Saccharomyces cerevisiae S288C: one gene and its partner. The protein of the gene in region 1 purifies or fractionates together with the protein of each later gene. This does not show direct contact. Each region holds a gene or a part of one and is shown on either strand. Other genes may lie near its edges. The genes, in order: ARB1 and VMS1.

The links.
Region 2: the proteins of ARB1 (region 1) and VMS1 purify together in Saccharomyces cerevisiae (affinity purification with mass spectrometry; 2 studies listed by BioGRID). This does not show direct contact.

What each region holds. Positions count from the first base shown.
Region 1 is NC_001137.3:222,547-227,026, reverse strand, and holds ARB1 (ATP-binding cassette family ATPase ARB1), read left to right. Parts: upstream 1-1,827; coding exon 1,828-3,660; downstream 3,661-4,480. Other genes in the region: Smc5-Smc6 complex subunit KRE29, read left to right, coding at 1-169; PHM8 (bifunctional nucleotidase/lysophosphatidic acid phosphatase), read right to left, coding at 173-1,138; EDC2 (Edc2p), read right to left, coding at 3,951-4,388. UniProt on the Saccharomyces cerevisiae protein: ATPase that stimulates 40S and 60S ribosome biogenesis.
Region 2 is NC_001136.10:551,575-555,972, reverse strand, and holds VMS1 (Vms1p), read right to left. Parts: upstream 2,720-4,398; coding exon 821-2,719; downstream 1-820. Other genes in the region: triose-phosphate isomerase TPI1, read left to right, coding at 1-247; uroporphyrinogen decarboxylase HEM12, read right to left, coding at 3,025-4,113. UniProt on the Saccharomyces cerevisiae protein: Endonuclease that cleaves polypeptidyl-tRNAs downstream of the ribosome-associated quality control (RQC) pathway to release incompletely synthesized polypeptides for degradation.

The DNA of each region.
Region 1 (4,480 bases):
ATATTTTATTTTAACGATGTATGGCTCGAAATTTATTCCTTTTGGTCCCAAATGTCAAGTAACAGAATATTTCAAAGATTGTATTTTGGATATTTCTAATGAAACGACAAATGATGTTGAAATTTCTATCCTGAAGGGAATATTAAATTTGTTTTCTAAAATCAGGTAACAGTCATGATGACTGAACATTGATCTGTTGATTTGACCAGTTGACTGCTTCCCCTTCCTCTTCCAACTCTTCCATTTCCTTTATGGCAATAGAGGATGGACGGTAAACTTCAACGTCCATTATCAATGGAATCTCAAGGATATCTTTCAATATGGAAAATTGTTGCTTATTTTTGTGGTCCTTAGTAACAATATTTTCTGACTCATATTGGTAATCCTCTATCAAATGGATAACATGGCCCATCCCCATGCTCAACGCGCTCCGCACATTGCTTTCGTTGTCATCAATAAACCAGGCATTTGCAAAGCTCGACAACCCACTTTGCAATTTAGCTGTTTCGAAGAATTTTGGATCTGGCTTGCAAATGAATTCTTCCTCGATGGGTCTGTCGTAGTGGCAATAGGTTATGCCGTCAAATAGATCAGCAATACCTAATATTTTAACACATCTGATGGCATGATTTTTGTACGAGTTTGTAAACAGCCATAGTTTGTCAAATTTGCCGAGCTTCTTTTTCTTTAAATTGATCAGCAGCTCCCTTAACTTCCAATCAGGCTTTAAATAGTCTTGCAAAGGTAAGGAATCATCGATGAATGTATTATATTGTAGGACGTCATCAATTTGTTTATTCTTTATTAAACCTTTCACGGATAATCCATATTCTTGATAATACGATTCGATTAGGCGTTCTGCCTCATCGTCGTCAAACCCCAATTCGTATTTAAAGAAATTTGATAATGATTGTTGCATGAGCAATTGTACCTTCGTAGATTTTCTGTACAAAGTGTTATCGATATCAAAGAAAAATACTTTTCGAGCAGGATCCGGATCCGGTAATTTGGGAGGATCCACCTCGAAATTGATTTGTGAGCCTAGATGTGTCAAGCTTTGCAAATGCTCCTGATTTAGTCGTATCTGCTTTTTGATTTGGTTTCTATAAATTGTTCTGTAATCTTTAGCGATAGTCATGATTACGTGCGTATAAAACTTATGTGTTTTTTATCTACATTAAATCTTTTACCAACTATGCGTTAAACCGAGTTCGTATATACATATATATATATATATATATATAAACATATATTTCTATACATGTACGAATGTATTACATATGCTAAATGTATGTATATACATTATATGCACATCTCCTAATAATGAGCCATTTCAGTATTGCGGCAAATACGGAAAAACCCGCAGAAACGATCGTACAGATCCAAGAACTTGGTTTGTATGTGAAGCACGTTGCTGCCCCCTTTTTTTCTCAACCATCTCCGGCGGCGACCGCCGGCTTTTTTCTTTCTTTTTCTGGAAAAAGAAAAACCCCCTATATCACCTTTGACGTTTACTCACTAAATACGAAATGCATTACCCTAATCTCACTTTAAACGAATGAAAAAAGAAAGGTGAGGGGGGAGACCGATGGAAAAAAAAATAAAAATTTTTTTCTTTTTTTTTTTCTTCGTTCACCTCATCTCAATTAATGGCTTTTCCTTGACGTAGTTCAGGTAACTTGGTAGTGATTCTCTTATAAAAAAAAATATTATCATATTTAACATGTTAGTGCCCGTGTAGTTTTTCTTCTTCTTTCTTAACTTTTTTCTTGCAAAAATTGTTTTCTTCCCCTCAGTGCTACAAACAGTAACTTGACAGAACCAAATATGCCACCAGTATCTGCGTCAAAGGCCAAGAGAGATGCTAAGAAAGCTGAAAGAGAGGCTAAGAAAGCCGCTGCCGGTAAAACCATCAGAAAGCTAGGTAGAAAAAAGGAGGCTGCTGCTGAAGAATCGGAGGTAGATGCAGCCGCTAGAGAAATCAAGATGATGAAGTTGCAACAAGATAAGGATGGTCTTTCAGATCGTGTTGTCACTGGTGTTTTGAGTTCATTGGAGACTTCCCGTGATATCAAGCTATCTTCTGTTTCTTTACTGTTCCACGGTAAAGTTTTGATCCAAGATTCTGGTTTAGAATTAAACTACGGCCGTAGATATGGTCTTCTGGGAGAAAATGGTTGTGGTAAGTCAACATTCTTAAAGGCTCTTGCTACTAGAGAATATCCTATTCCTGAGCATATTGATATTTATTTATTGGACGAACCTGCGGAACCAAGTGAATTGTCGGCCTTGGACTACGTTGTCACTGAAGCTCAACACGAATTGAAAAGAATAGAAGACTTAGTCGAAAAGACTATCTTGGAAGATGGTCCTGAGTCCGAGTTATTAGAGCCTCTATATGAAAGAATGGACTCTTTGGATCCAGACACCTTTGAATCTAGAGCTGCTATCATTTTGATCGGTCTAGGTTTCAACAAGAAGACCATTTTGAAGAAAACCAAAGATATGTCTGGTGGATGGAAAATGCGTGTTGCGTTGGCAAAAGCTCTTTTCGTTAAGCCAACTCTATTATTGTTGGATGATCCTACTGCGCATCTGGATTTGGAAGCTTGTGTTTGGTTAGAAGAATATTTGAAGAGATTTGACAGAACTTTAGTTTTGGTGTCCCACTCTCAAGATTTCTTGAACGGTGTTTGTACCAATATGATTGACATGAGAGCTCAAAAACTAACTGCTTACGGTGGTAACTATGATTCTTATCACAAGACAAGATCCGAATTGGAAACCAATCAAATGAAACAATACAATAAACAACAAGAGGAAATCCAACATATTAAAAAATTCATTGCATCTGCTGGTACTTATGCTAACTTGGTGAAACAAGCTAAATCTAGACAAAAAATTTTGGACAAGATGGAAGCAGATGGTTTAGTCCAACCTGTCGTCCCTGACAAAGTTTTCTCATTTAGATTCCCACAAGTGGAAAGATTGCCACCACCAGTTTTAGCATTCGATGATATTTCATTTCATTATGAGAGCAACCCATCCGAAAACTTGTACGAACATTTGAACTTTGGTGTCGATATGGACTCACGTATTGCCCTTGTCGGACCAAATGGTGTTGGTAAATCCACATTGTTGAAGATTATGACCGGTGAATTGACCCCACAATCTGGCCGTGTTTCTAGACATACCCATGTCAAGTTGGGTGTCTACTCGCAACACTCTCAAGATCAACTGGACTTGACAAAATCTGCTTTAGAATTTGTCCGTGACAAGTACTCTAACATCTCACAAGATTTCCAATTCTGGAGAGGCCAACTAGGTCGCTACGGGCTAACCGGGGAAGGTCAAACCGTTCAAATGGCTACCTTGTCAGAAGGTCAACGTTCTCGTGTCGTCTTTGCTTTATTAGCTTTAGAACAACCAAATGTCCTACTATTAGATGAACCTACCAATGGTTTGGATATCCCAACCATCGACTCCTTGGCCGACGCCATCAACGAATTTAACGGTGGTGTCGTCGTCGTTTCGCATGATTTCAGATTATTAGACAAAATTGCCCAAGATATTTTCGTTGTGGAAAACAAGACCGCTACCAGATGGGACGGATCCATTTTGCAATATAAGAACAAATTGGCCAAGAACGTTGTTTTGTAATTGTGAAGTTGATCTGCGCCGTGCACGTTTTTACTTCCCCTTTTATGTATTTTAATAGCAATAATTTATATAACTAATCAATCAATAAAGAAAGAAAATCACCGATAACAATGTGAAGGCAAGAAGATATAACAATGACTTCTCCGTATGTGTAAGAATATGAGGGTAATTGCGTAAAAATGTATATAAATGCCATCTTTATGAATAATCCGACCTAAATAAAACCCCAAAAAAAAAAATGAGAGCCCGCCCGCTCAAGTAGAAATAAAAAAATTTACAATCACAGCTACTCAAACAAAACTAGGTTTGGGTAGCGCTGCCTCATGTGGGATATCTGTTGTGAACGAAGCACCGGCAAAGGCCGTATGACCAGCTACGTGCGGTTTCGAATCGATCGACGCCGCCGCCCTATCCTGGTACTGTCTCGTTTTCTTCTTCTTGTATTTGCACGATTTTTTTTTAGGGGCCTTATCATGTAGGAAGGCATCTATGTTAACAGTGACCATCGTTGCCTTATCGTCCTCGTGTCCCGTCTTCGAGGTGCGTTCCCTAGGTTCTCGCCGCTGTTTTGTAGACTTACCGAAGTTTGGTTTCTTGCCATTGGGCAAACTCTGCGTCGGTGGAACTAATATTTGAGTTTTAGTGGGGCGCATGTGCTCCTTGGCGGAAGGAGGACTTTCCCTTGTGACAATCTTGACTTTTGCAGAATGTTTTGTCTCGGAACCCATTATGAGAGATATTTAATTTTGACTATTATAAAAACGTTTGTGTTTGAGTTTCTGTTAGTGTATAACTTTGTATGTAGTGACGTTATTGTCCG
Region 2 (4,398 bases), on another chromosome or scaffold:
CTGGGCCATTGGTACCGGTTTGGCTGCTACTCCAGAAGATGCTCAAGATATTCACGCTTCCATCAGAAAGTTCTTGGCTTCCAAGTTGGGTGACAAGGCTGCCAGCGAATTGAGAATCTTATACGGTGGTTCCGCTAACGGTAGCAACGCCGTTACCTTCAAGGACAAGGCTGATGTCGATGGTTTCTTGGTCGGTGGTGCTTCTTTGAAGCCAGAATTTGTTGATATCATCAACTCTAGAAACTAAGATTAATATAATTATATAAAAATATTATCTTCTTTTCTTTATATCTAGTGTTATGTAAAATAAATTGATGACTACGGAAAGCTTTTTTATATTGTTTCTTTTTCATTCTGAGCCACTTAAATTTCGTGAATGTTCTTGTAAGGGACGGTAGATTTACAAGTGATACAACAAAAAGCAAGGCGCTTTTTCTAATAAAAAGAAGAAAAGCATTTAACAATTGAACACCTCTATATCAACGAAGAATATTACTTTGTCTCTAAATCCTTGTAAAATGTGTACGATCTCTATATGGGTTACTCATAAGTGTACCGAAGACTGCATTGAAAGTTTATGTTTTTTCACTGGAGGCGTCATTTTCGCGTTGAGAAGATGTTCTTATCCAAATTTCAACTGTTATATAGAAGAGCAAAAAATTGCCAAAAAAAACAACATTTATTCATTTGAAATATAAAATTTGGGCTTCTATATTTTAATATTGCTTTTCAATTACTGTTATTAAATGTAAGTACTGTGTCTATGAAAATATATGCAAATGCTAAGAAAAATCCTAAAAATTTGAATATGAGATATTCCTCAGTATTTCTTTTTCATCCTTTCTTCTGCGGCTCTAGCCCTTTGTTCTCTCATCAATCTGCGTCTCTGTTCATCGGTCAAAGAATTCAAATTTTGTTGCTGAATTGAAGGAATATTGGTTAACTTTTTGCCTGGACCCCTCTCTGCATCTTTAGCAAATCTTTGTTTTTCCTTGGCGGCTTCTAATTCCAATTTAATCAGTTTTTCTGCCTTTTCATTCTCTATTGCTTTTTTCTTTTCATTGATTTCATCAACTTGTTCTCTGCTCAATGGCTGACCGATATGAGTTTCGTCCCAATTAGTGAAAGACTCTCCAAGATTGTATCTTGCAATTTGAAACGCGTGTCTCACGTCGTCGTTTCTATTCAAATCCCACGCAGTCCTTCCTAGTCTGTTCTTGATCGTTGGATCGCATTTAATATTTGAGAGCAAAATCAGTGCCATCTGTTTCATCCCTTGCTGCGATGCATAATGTAACATGGTAGGGGTTAAGGAATATTTACTCTCAGGCTTTAACCGAAAGTTTCCATCAAGCTTATTCTTTTTTAAGAAGGATATCAATAACGGTGCCCTTCCTTTCTTCAGCAGAGAAATTATTTCTTCTGTTTGGATTTCTTCCAGTAACGGTTCTTGTTTTTCTTTAAATTCGTCCTTTTTGTTCGACACTTCTAACTTTTGTACTGTTTCTTTCACTGCCAATGGTTCAGGCTTAGGTAATATTTTCAGGTAGGAAAGTTCGCACCATGCCTTCTTCAATTCTAATACAGTGGGCCTGTTCGTGGTAAAAGGGAAGCTCTTTATCCTTTCATCACCCTTGTTCAGAACGGTATTATCAGTAAAAATTTTTTTATCACTGACATTGCGAGCTCGAATAAAAATATTATCACACTTTGACAGATAAGGTTCCCAGTCCTTCAACACACCCTGTATATCTGTTTTTAAAGCGCTTTCATTGTACCTACGAAGTGCTGAACCGGCAGAGTTAGCTTTTCCCTTTGCATTGTCCATTGCTGACTGAGAACCACCTTGCTTCCTTCTGGTAGTATACCTGTGAAACGTCTTGTGCTCTAAGAAATTGACCGCTTGCTCAATTAAGGTTTCGTCCTTCTTGTGCGCGTTCCCCTTGACATTGAGTCTTTGATGAGAAACAATTGCTCCCGCAAAATGTCCACCTCCCACCATAAACAGAGCTGAAATGGCCATTGGGTTCTCTTGCGAATTCCAAAAAGTCAAAGCTTCATTGGGGTTGGAAAGACTCCTTTTATTAAATAGAGACTTATAAATCGCCAAGACCTCATTCTTTTGAAGATACTTCGATTTGAAATAAATGTAGGGCGATTGGGTATTAATATGGCTAATAGCATCCGACTCGTCTTTTTGGAACCCTAATTTCTGCAAATCATTTTCGATTATAGTTTCCATATAATTATTAGTTTGTAGGTCCGGGTCCCGATCGCTGGCTTCCTCACTTTCTTCGTGATCGCTTGAAGTTTGCTCGCCGCCAGAATTTTCGTCTTCAGACTTGATACCATGCTCCTTAGAAATCAGCGCATCGAATTCCTCAACGGATAGGATATCCAGCCCCCTAAGGTTACGCTTAACATTCATCAAATGATAATCAGTCTGGTAGTGGGCCTTTTGTTCATTTCTGGAATCAAAGCTCATTTGACAAACACTACAACGCATAACATTTGATGTGACCTTCTTTCTTGCTATTTGGAGATCTCCAGACTCCTTGTTTCTATCATTATCAGATGTCTTCTCTACTTCAACTTCTCGCAGTGTGGAGTCAAAGCTCATCAATTTCAATGAATTCAGAAGTTGCTCAGACAAATCAAAAATATAAAGATCATTCTTTTTTAGTGAGCCAGTCATTTTACTCGCCTTTTGTGAATTCATGCTATTGGAAGCTTGTCAACAGGCGTGCAGATCTTTTGAAAATCCTTTTTCTTCGAAGGAAAGGTGATATGCATTCTCATTTATTTTCATATACCTTCATCTTTTATTTTCTTCTATTTAAGATTTTGTCACTACATCCATTCAGAGAACCTGCAAAAATAAATATCTGAAAAAAAAAAAAATCGTAATAAATATACAGAATATCGAAAAAAGAAAAAAGGCCACTTTTGAACGTTGTGAAAAAGATATTATTTACATAAACGTATATTATCACTTATAACACTATAAGAATCAATATTTCCACATTACTTCGAACCAATTCTGTGGCACTCCTCCAAGAAAAACTTGATGACGTCTGGATCCATGAAAGGGTGGGTACCGTGACCGAAATTAACAATGTAGCGGGACTTCCCACCTCCAAAAGCCTCAATCATCTGTTTAACTTTCTTTGTTATTACCTCTTTAGAACCATACATGACGCCAGGATCCAGGTTGCCCTGCAAGGTGACACGGTTCTTGTTTATTTTTACCGCTTCTCTTGGGTCCCAGGACCAGTCCAACGAAACAACGTCAAATCCTGAACAGCATAGCTTGTCCAAAGCATACCACGACCCTTTCGCAAAAACGATCATAGGAATCTGTTCCATGATACCTAATTCTTGCAATCTTTTAGGCACTCTTTCGGCAATTTGTCTTAAATATGGTAGGGAAAACTCATCAAAATCTACAGACGAAAGCTCACCACCCCAACTTTCAAAAACTTGTAGTATTTGAGCACCCGCCACGACTTGCTGACTCAGAAACTCCACGGCCACATCAGTGATTTTTTGTAATAATTTGTGAGAAAGCTCTGGATACATGTTAATCCATTGTTTGGCAAATCTGAAAAGACGGGATCCACCGCCTTCCGTCATATAAACCATTAGAGTCCAAGGTCCCCCGCAAAAGCCAAATAAGGGAACCTCACCATCCAACTTGATCCTTGTCATGGTGATTGCCTTGAAAGCCCAATCTAACTCTTTCAAAACATCAACCTTGTAGTCTAATACCGTTTGGAGGTCTTCCGGATTTCTTAAAGGTTCTGGGAAATGTGGACCTTTACCTTCGAGCATCTCGACCCTCATACCCATGGCTTGCGGAATAACTAAGATATCACTAAAAATAATAGCAGCATCAATGAGGCCTCTATAGCGTCTTACCGGCTGGATAGTAATCTCAGAAGCAATTTCCGCATCCCTGCAAGTTTGAAAGAAATCACGATTGTTTTTCACCTCGTGATATTCCGGCAGGTAACGACCTGCCTGGCGCATTATCCAGCATGGCGGTCTCTCGACTTTTTCACCCTTTGCGGCTCTCAATATCAAATCGTTTTTTGGAGCTGGAAAGTTACCCATAGCGTTATAACCTGTTCTTTGCTTTATTTTTTTTTTTTTTGTTCTTCCTTTTCTCGAAGAGAGCTTACCAAACACAATTCTGAGATAATGCTTGATGAATTGAAGAACCTATCGATCACTCTATGTTACCTTCGTCTGGAACATCACTAATTCGAGCGGTAAAGATGAAAATGGCAGAACATTTCGCTGGCAAAATTAAAACTCTTGCCTCATTTTTTTTTGCTTTCCTCTCCTGCCGCCAAAAACCCCGAACCCTGTCCTGTATATACGAGAAACATTGAAAAA